2 linked regions of the Arabidopsis thaliana genome follow. The protein of the gene in region 2 interacts with the protein of the main gene of each other region in a pairwise test. Each region holds a gene or a part of one and is shown on either strand. Other genes may lie near its edges. The genes, in order: TIFY8 and ATPD.

Evidence for each region.
Region 1: the proteins of ATPD (region 2) and TIFY8 interact in binary tests that used the Arabidopsis thaliana proteins (3 or more experiments, as listed by UniProt).

What each region holds. Positions count from the first base shown.
Region 1 is NC_003075.7:15,715,538-15,720,599, forward strand, and holds TIFY8 (TIFY domain protein 8), read right to left. Parts: upstream 3,331-5,062; 5' UTR 3,166-3,330; coding exon 2,919-3,165; intron 2,226-2,918; coding exon 2,056-2,225; intron 1,964-2,055; coding exon 1,707-1,963; intron 1,629-1,706; coding exon 1,532-1,628; intron 1,420-1,531; coding exon 1,194-1,419; coding exon of another isoform or gene 1,129-1,193; intron 1,123-1,128; exon of another isoform or gene 985-1,122; coding exon 896-984; 3' UTR 695-895; downstream 1-694. Other genes in the region: AT4G32560 (paramyosin-like protein), read left to right, coding at 40-120, 229-351, 436-498; AT4G32580 (Thioredoxin superfamily protein), read right to left, coding at 4,341-4,577, 4,679-4,753, 4,828-4,998. UniProt on the Arabidopsis thaliana protein: Repressor of jasmonate responses.
Region 2 is NC_003075.7:6,098,760-6,102,468, forward strand, and holds ATPD (F-type H+-transporting ATPase subunit delta), read left to right. Parts: upstream 1-1,954; 5' UTR 1,955-2,039; coding exon 2,040-2,744; 3' UTR 2,745-3,105; downstream 3,106-3,709. Other genes in the region: AT4G09649 (uncharacterized protein), read right to left, coding at 1,802-1,939. UniProt on the Arabidopsis thaliana protein: F(1)F(0) ATP synthase produces ATP from ADP in the presence of a proton or sodium gradient.

The sequences.
Region 1 (5,062 bases), 9.6 Mb from region 2:
AGTCAAAGTTTCACCATAATTCCGTTGACTTGATTGTAGTTTCAAGACGTGATTGGTACTCCTGCTGGCCGTGTGAAGCTTATTGATTCAATGGAAGGAGTCATGAAAGGAATCCAACAGGTAATCTGAGTTATATTGAATCAGGTATTTGAGGCACAAAGCATGAACTAACCCATCTTACCTATCTATAGCTGTATGATTTGTCATAACAAAATGTTTAAAGTGCAGAAGATTGGAAAAATACAACTTGGGCTTCAAGAAGAGCAGAGGCTCCGTGATGCTTCAAAAGAAAAGTATATAGCTGCAGCTGCAGAGCAAAGAAAATGCTACACTGTACTAAGAGCATACCAGGTTAGCACAAGATAGGAAATAAGTGTTTATACTGAAAAGCCCGAGAGTCATCTACTTACGTAGTGCTAAATTTCTCAATGGCAGGAGGAATGTACTAAGAATGAGAGGCTGAGAAGTCATATATCTGCCATGAACGAACACCTCTGACTCGAAGAAGGGTTTGAATAAGGTGATATGAAGTGACTCTCCTTTCGAGTTACAGCTAACCAGAGTAGAGCCAGAGTTGATTTAGATATGATTCTCTTGTGATGTGATGTATCCATATGCTCAGCCTTACATGGAAATATACGAAAATCGATAGGCCTAGAAATAGTAGGTTTGGTTGACCAATATGTTTATATATGAGCTATGAGAAAATATTATTCTCTAAATCATTGAGGAGATGAGTTTGAATACAAACCTAGAAAGGTACAGAGCATTGTACAAAGCTATCAAGTCAACAAATAACAACTTAGAAGAAGTTGACCAAAAACAAAAAAAAAACAAAAAAAACAACAACTTAGAAGAACAGCCACACTCATCGTCTCTCATATTCAGACTTTAATCATGTGGCTTCTTTTTCAGGATCTGATCTGTGAACCGGATCTCTGATATCTCGTCCCCTTGAGATGATGCTTCCTTGATGCTCTCTACCTGCAAATCATACATGTACATGGTTTTATGGCTCCTCAAACAGATTCAAGTTGATAAAACCCAGAACAGTTGATAACTCTTTACTGTTGTATCCTCATTTTATTATGTCACAATGCAAAATAAGACCTGATTACTCTACTCCACTCAGTATTTGTAAGAAGCTAACCAAAATTTCTGCTGAAATCTGGTTTTCTTTAAAAAGAAGTCACCTGGTTGTGTAAAGATCCGGTGACAGGCACTGGAGGTAGGTTGATGACTCGGCCTTGCACGAAATTCCGGGGGCATTTGTGGTGTTTCCTTAGAGCTGCCTCCTTCATACATTTGGCCTAGCTTGTATGGACCGTCACTTGTGTTGTTCTTCGACTTCGGTTTATGAGACAAACCCGTAGACCATGAGCCTCCGCTTGATCCTGCCAAGGCCATTATCACATCCGCCTGCAAAAAAATAACATTCATCAGATGAACTTCTCAATTCTCTACCTTTTTAGATATCAAAATGTAGTCAAATAACTTGAATATCAAGTGTATAAGTGTTAGGGAGAATCACCTTGTTTGGGTGAACGTCATCAAAGACATGAGCTTGACCGCCATAGAAGATGGTCATTTGCTTAGTACTCGACGCCAAGTCTTTCCGATTTCCGGTACTGCAAATACAAAGTGTATTGAAATGACTCGAAGAGTATCGAAAGACCAGAGACACAAAACACTAGAAGCTAACTGACTTTGAAGGGGCAAAACTTTCGAGCTTGCTTGAGTTTGGCATTGTAAAAGAACTCAAGATACCGGGACCTTTCATCCCTGTTCGTGAACCTTCATCAGCAGCTGTCTGAGCAATAACTGATGGGCCTACGTTCTCATCTTTGAACCTGCTAGTAGACAGCTGATGAAGCAAATGACTGATCTGTCCTCCTCCGCGTGGAGGCTGGTTTGCCAAAGGATTCACATTCATGGAGAAGCTTCCAGGTCCGTTTCTAAGCAACTAGGTTATGACAATGACATATTACAGAAACTGAGTTCTACGTAGCTGTGACCATGGTGAAGTTGTGTAGGTTCTGTTTTTTTTTTAGTTACCTTGGACCAATGCAGAGTCTCTGGGTGCTCCTGAGTCGTGAAGTGAGAATCAGAGTTACTTCTCTTATTTCCTGAAAACCGATTGCTCATGATTGAGCCAGAAACATCACTTCTTGGTCCAAACAATTGTATCCCATCAAGATGATTCCCACCGCCGCTGTGTCTTTCGACTAAACAATGATAAAATATGGATAAGTAACTTAAAGATTGTTGTGGGAGGGAACTCAAGGAGATAGAGAGAGAAAACGAGAGGCAATAAAGAAGGGCCAATTCATATAAAAAAGGATCACAACCTCAAATGGCTATGACCCACCAAACTCATCAGTCAAATTCACTCTCAATGTCCCAACTAATCCACCAGAGGGCATTATGGTTGGGCAGAGAGAGAGAGAGAGAGAGAGAGAGAGGGAGAGTCCTTAACACTACAAGAGGTCAAGCAACCACATGCCCACACACAATCCATGTTCATGTTTCTTAAATTGTCGAACTAAAAAAGCAATGAGGCAAGAAATGAAACAAGACAATGTACATTCACATTTTGTTCAACCTTATGAACCCAAAGATGTTCCATTTTCAACTTAAGAGATCTAATCATAAATGAATTGACTAAAAAATTTGAAACTAACTCACATGATCTCTTACATTTTCAAATCATGGTGAATCAAAGCTCGATCGTTAATCCAGACTAGGGGGAAAAGAAAGAATCCAACTTTAAATCGAATCTATGTAACAAAAGTTGAACTTTCTATAGATAGAAACCCTAAATGTACAGAGGAATCAGCTCAAAACCTCATCAGCGTAAGCACACTACGTCAACAACAACAAAAACATCAGGAGAGAGAGATAGAGAGACAGAGCAGAACCGAGATCGGAGGTTGAGGAGAGACCGCCGAGTCCACCGGCGGAGGAAGCAGAAGCCGTGGAAGGAGTCATCGCCGCTTTAGCCGCCTTATTATCCGGTGGTAGCCTATGGTCAGCCATGGAAGTGGATGCTAAAGTAGGATTCTTGGAGCCTAAAAAGTCATGGAACAAGAGCTTATCTTGTTCTGTCTGTCGGAGACGAGAATCAATATCAGTGGGTCGCTGGCCATTGTTGTGGTTCACCATCATGAAACCAGTGTGTCAGTGTGGCCACTTCGCCACCACATCCTCCGTTACAGTCTTTCTCTCTGTCTCTGGCAGAGTATTATTTCATGGACACACTCAACGAGAGAGAGAGAGAGAGATATTATCAGTTTTTTGTTTTTTGTTTTTCTGGGTAAGTGTATAATAAAGCTTGTCTTTTTCTTCTTCAAGCTACTTTATTGGGTTTCTCTTACATGATTTTAATTCCCTTTAATATTATAATAATCACATCTTTCAAATAATATATGATTAAAAGTTCAGCCCAAAAGAAAAAAGTACGATTGTAAAATCATGGCATTATAGACTCTTTTTAAATTAAGGTTATCATAGATTCATAATGTTATTGATTTGAGAAAGTGAGTTTGTGTATCTAATCTAACCAACACACTATAATTTGGTGTAGTAGTACAATGTTAACTACTTTACTCATATGTGGTTGTTAGATCGATTAGTTAAATAATTTTTATACACATAATTTTATCATTACGCGCCAAATAATCTGTTTTAAAATTAAAATGCAAAATGTATGCATATAACTTTACCTAAATATATGGTTTTGAGATGAGAGTTGTTGAATTTTGAATGATTATAAGTGTTTGATTTCTTACTCTAATATGAGTAAGAGAGAGAACTCATGAACCAACCACTCATGACGAATTTCTATACTCTTAAATGAAATCGATTTTACAACTACTCATGACGATTTTTCCCACTTTAATCTAGTTTAATTATGGAGTATTTAAGATGTTTATTGAAACCACCAAATTAGTATTAGCTGATTTTTTAATCAACTAGTCTCCGGACTGTGATTAATTGGGTTGATAGAAGTATAATGGTCATTTATATGGGAATTGGGAACACGTGTTGTTTTTCTTGTTCTTACTACACAAACCTTAACTAGATGTTTGTGATATGGAGGCTCAAGTATCTGGGTTAACAATAGAGCTAGGGGTAAACTTTCCAGTAGGCTTATGTTCTTCCCATATGAACATAATTCCTTCAACGACAAGACATAGCACGTGTTCTTCAAACAACAGTAGCAGGTCAACTTTAGCAACATGTTTGCTCCAAGTAGCTACCTGATATATATCCACAAGAATTCCAACTATAAAGAAAGTACTCAATAGATATTAAAAATCGAGGCTCTTCAGGAGTACCATTCATGAATAACATAACAGGGTGAGTTTTTCCAAACGATTCTTGAGAGCATCAGCGGTAGATACAGGCTGAGCTCGGTCTTGTCCAGAAGCTTTCGCATTCTTCTTAACAGTTTCAAGAATCGTTGGCCCTGCAGCCAACCCTAAGCTTGCAGGAGTAATAGAACCAGCAACTTTGCCAACTTTATTAGCTAAACTTGATGGATCTGCCCCTTCAAGTGTATCCACAGTTTTGCCATCCTTCAATAAGAAAAGGATTCAGTGCAGTGACAAAGATTCAAGCTTTGTCAATAAGCCAAAAAATTGCAACCAAACAAAGAATCAATATGCCTAAAGTTTACCTTGAAGAAGACGAAATACGGCACAAGAGCAACAGAATAAGCCTCAGATATCTCAGGATGTTCCTCAGCTTCTACCTAAGAAGATAAATAAAACCAATCAAAGTCAAAAACCAATTGAAAGAGATAAAATTCGAACAGAGACGACGAACCCTAAAGAAGTGAGCACGAGGGAAATCAGTAGCGAGATGAGAGAAAACTTGATCCATCTGCTTCGAAGCGTCACACCAAGAAGCCCAGAAGTGAAGCACGAGTGGTGCTCCGCTGTGGCGCAAGTTATCAAGCTCCTCCTTTGAAACGATATCCTTCACAGTACCACTCATCTTCGAAGAGGAAGGAGATGTCGCGTCTCTCTCGGAAGGATCTCCAACACTTTTTCTTTTCTTT
Region 2 (3,709 bases):
CAATATTCTAGAGTACTTAGGCGGCTCTAGCCAACTTCTAGAATACTTATACTAATCTCCTAAACCCTAATCTCTAGGATCTTCAAGAATCAGGATCTTCCTTAATCTACAAGCTTATCCCTTTTCCATATTTGACGAGAAGGAAATTCACCATATCTTCTCGACCGACATTCGTCTTTGATCACCATGCCAAGTCAGCAACTTTACTTGGCTTCTCACATCAACCGCTACATCCCTGCCACGTTAGCTCACACGTCCATATCAGTAGTCTCTGCCGTTTAGTGTGATCTGATGCAACTTCTTGATTTCCGACAGCTCCTTGATATCCATCAGCTCACTATTGTCAGAATCTACATCTTCAGAAATATGTTTAGATTTTTAATTAACTTAATCAGCACTAATACAAAAAAGCTATTCTCGAAAAAAAAAGAAGAGTTGATTAATCTTTTAAAAACTAAAAAGAGGGAATAAATTATAAAGCAGTTTCCCTTGTTGTGTGCTTGTAAAATTTTTTTTTTTCATAAAAAGGTATTAGTGTTGGTGGTAATGACAGAGTAATTTAGTAAACATATATTATTTTAAGATTAATTTATTAAAAAAATTATTGATTTAACAAAATATTTATGGAACTTAATTTTATCACTTTCTTAGAAAGTTTTTTGGACAGTCTTATCTCTTTATCATAACTCTTCGTTATGTATTTTGTCAATGATAAATATTTCTACCTTCATAAAAAATGTTTCAAATAATCATGTTTTTAATCATCATTCTTTTTTACATTTTTACTCCTTAAGTTTTTAGCAATCTTTAAAAAATATTTACAATATAACCTTAACACATGTAGATTTATGTAATAATTCAAATATTTGATATAACCTTAACACATGTAGATTTATGTAATAATTCAAATATCTGAATATATATATATATATATATATATATATAGTCAAAAATATTTTGGTTATTTAATACAAAAATAAAAAAAATTGTTAAAAATCATGAGTTCTCCCACGACATCGCGGGAGTCCATAACCTAGTATATAAAATCATTGAAAATCAGTTACAATCTCTTGTTATTCAATTTATAATATATGAAAATATTCAAAATCAAGTGCTCTTCAAAAATTAACAAGTATTTTGTTGAAAACATCGAAATTGTTGTAAACGATTAGGTTTTAAGGATTGTTTCTCTCTGTTATTGATCACATGCCCGGCTCAAACATGGCCTAGACTCAGTGCTACTATATCCAAAATCCTTAATGTGTATTAAAAAGAACAAAAAAAAAACTTAACATGTAAAAAAAAAAAATTGGGTCTTTGGATCCTATGCCCCAGCATCTCTGACACATGCTCTAAGCCGGCACTGATTGATCAATTGTACAAAATACGATATATATATATATATATATATATATATATTATATGGATACAACAGTAGATATTAAGTCTCCTAAAACCTACTAATGTGTCATATAATAGACATCCATAACATAAATTAATTTTAGAGATTTTTAACACTCGTTTAGTTGAAAAATAGGACTAATAAGAGGTATAATTTGAAGAGGTTTAAGAAAAAAAAAATGTTCACATAAAATATTGTAAGAAATAATATCTCATTATTGATCCTTTTATTATAGAAGATTTTAGTTTAGCAAAACTCTATTTTAGCAGAACACATAAAAGGAACAAGGATCAAATCCTTTATGTTATGGATATAACTAATATAAATTTGTGACATAAAAATTAGGATAACAAGAATGAAATCCTTTAAACTCAATAAGGAACACAGATATCACACCAATCAAACAACTCCACGTGTCGATTCCTCACTCCTTCTCAAACCACAGCCTAATCCTTCTGAAAACTCCACACAAGATAAACCTTCTAATCTCCACCGTCCATCTAACCACAATCCAAAATCTCCACCGTCCATTCTCATCTCCCCCAAAAAACCTTACCTTCTTCTTCTTCTTCCTCTCCTCTATCGTCTTCGAGAAACCACAAATCTCTCTTTCTCTCAAACTCTCTCAACAACAACAATGGCGTCTCTTCAACAAACTCTATTCTCTCTTCAATCCAAACTCCCACCATCCTCCTTCCAAATCGCCAGATCTCTCCCACTCCGAAAAACCTTCCCAATCCGAATCAACAACGGTGGAAACGCCGCCGGAGCAAGAATGTCAGCCACCGCAGCATCAAGCTACGCGATGGCATTAGCAGACGTCGCGAAAAGAAACGACACAATGGAATTAACAGTCACAGACATCGAGAAGCTCGAACAAGTCTTCTCAGATCCACAAGTACTAAACTTCTTCGCGAATCCAACAATCACCGTCGAGAAGAAACGTCAAGTCATCGACGACATAGTGAAATCGTCGTCTCTTCAATCTCACACATCTAACTTCCTCAACGTCCTCGTCGACGCGAATCGGATCAATATCGTGACGGAGATCGTTAAGGAGTTTGAGTTGGTTTACAATAAGCTAACGGATACACAATTGGCGGAGGTTAGGTCGGTGGTGAAATTGGAAGCGCCGCAATTAGCTCAGATTGCGAAACAGGTTCAGAAGTTAACCGGAGCTAAGAATGTTCGGGTTAAGACGGTTATTGATGCGAGTCTTGTGGCTGGTTTTACGATTCGGTATGGTGAATCCGGTTCGAAGCTTATTGATATGAGTGTGAAGAAACAGCTTGAAGATATTGCTTCTCAGCTTGAACTTGGTGAGATTCAATTAGCTACTTGAGATTTGGGAAAAATTGTATAAGAGAAAAATTTGAGAATCTTTTTTTTTTGTGCAAGTTTAATTTTTTTTCTCCTCATCTTCTTTCTCTATTAATCAATCATATAATATACAGTACTGATGATATAATAATGATTCTGAGTTTATTATCTTTGTAATTGTTAAATTTAGTGAATTCGAAAACGAATTCGAATAGTATGTTTGCGGATTATGCGTTTTGGGGAATGGTTTTACTGTTAAATTGCGGTTAATCTCGGTTGAATAGAGTAGTGGCAATGTCAACTTATTGCATTGATGAAGGAACATGAATGAAGAAGAACTTTGAACTGTTACATTGTGAAGAAAGTGTAAATCTATGTATGAATGTTTGGTTTGTTGATTGATGTTGGACTGGATTGGTAGGATATACGTGCAAGCCGAAATATGAAATTTATACAAATTTTGAGACCAAAACATTTTAATGATCTTATGAAAACACTAGAACCCCCATCTCACATACTTGTACGATCTACACCAACGATCTCTTTGATCTTGCATATACGGCAAGTCGGCAAACAATAACTCTTACCATACATTACAAAGGAGGTGTGATCATTTAGTTTTGGGGATTGCTTTGATTAGCCTGGGTAAAATACCCGAACCCGAAGAACCAAACCGAACTCAACCCGAAAAAACCTGATCCGAATCTAAACCTAAAATTTTAAAATACTCAAACAGATCTTAAACTTCAAAACCCGAACCCGAACCCATCCGAACCTGAACCCGATCAAATATCCGAACATATTCGAAATATATATATATATACATAGAAATAATTTATTAGTAAGAATCATTTTTACATCAACTTAAGTGTCTAAAATATTAGGATTTTAGGATATTTTGTATAGTTTTAGATATTTTACCTACTTTTCGATAGATTCGGATAAAAAATACTCGTTTAAGAATTTTTTGTGTATTTTCAAGTAATT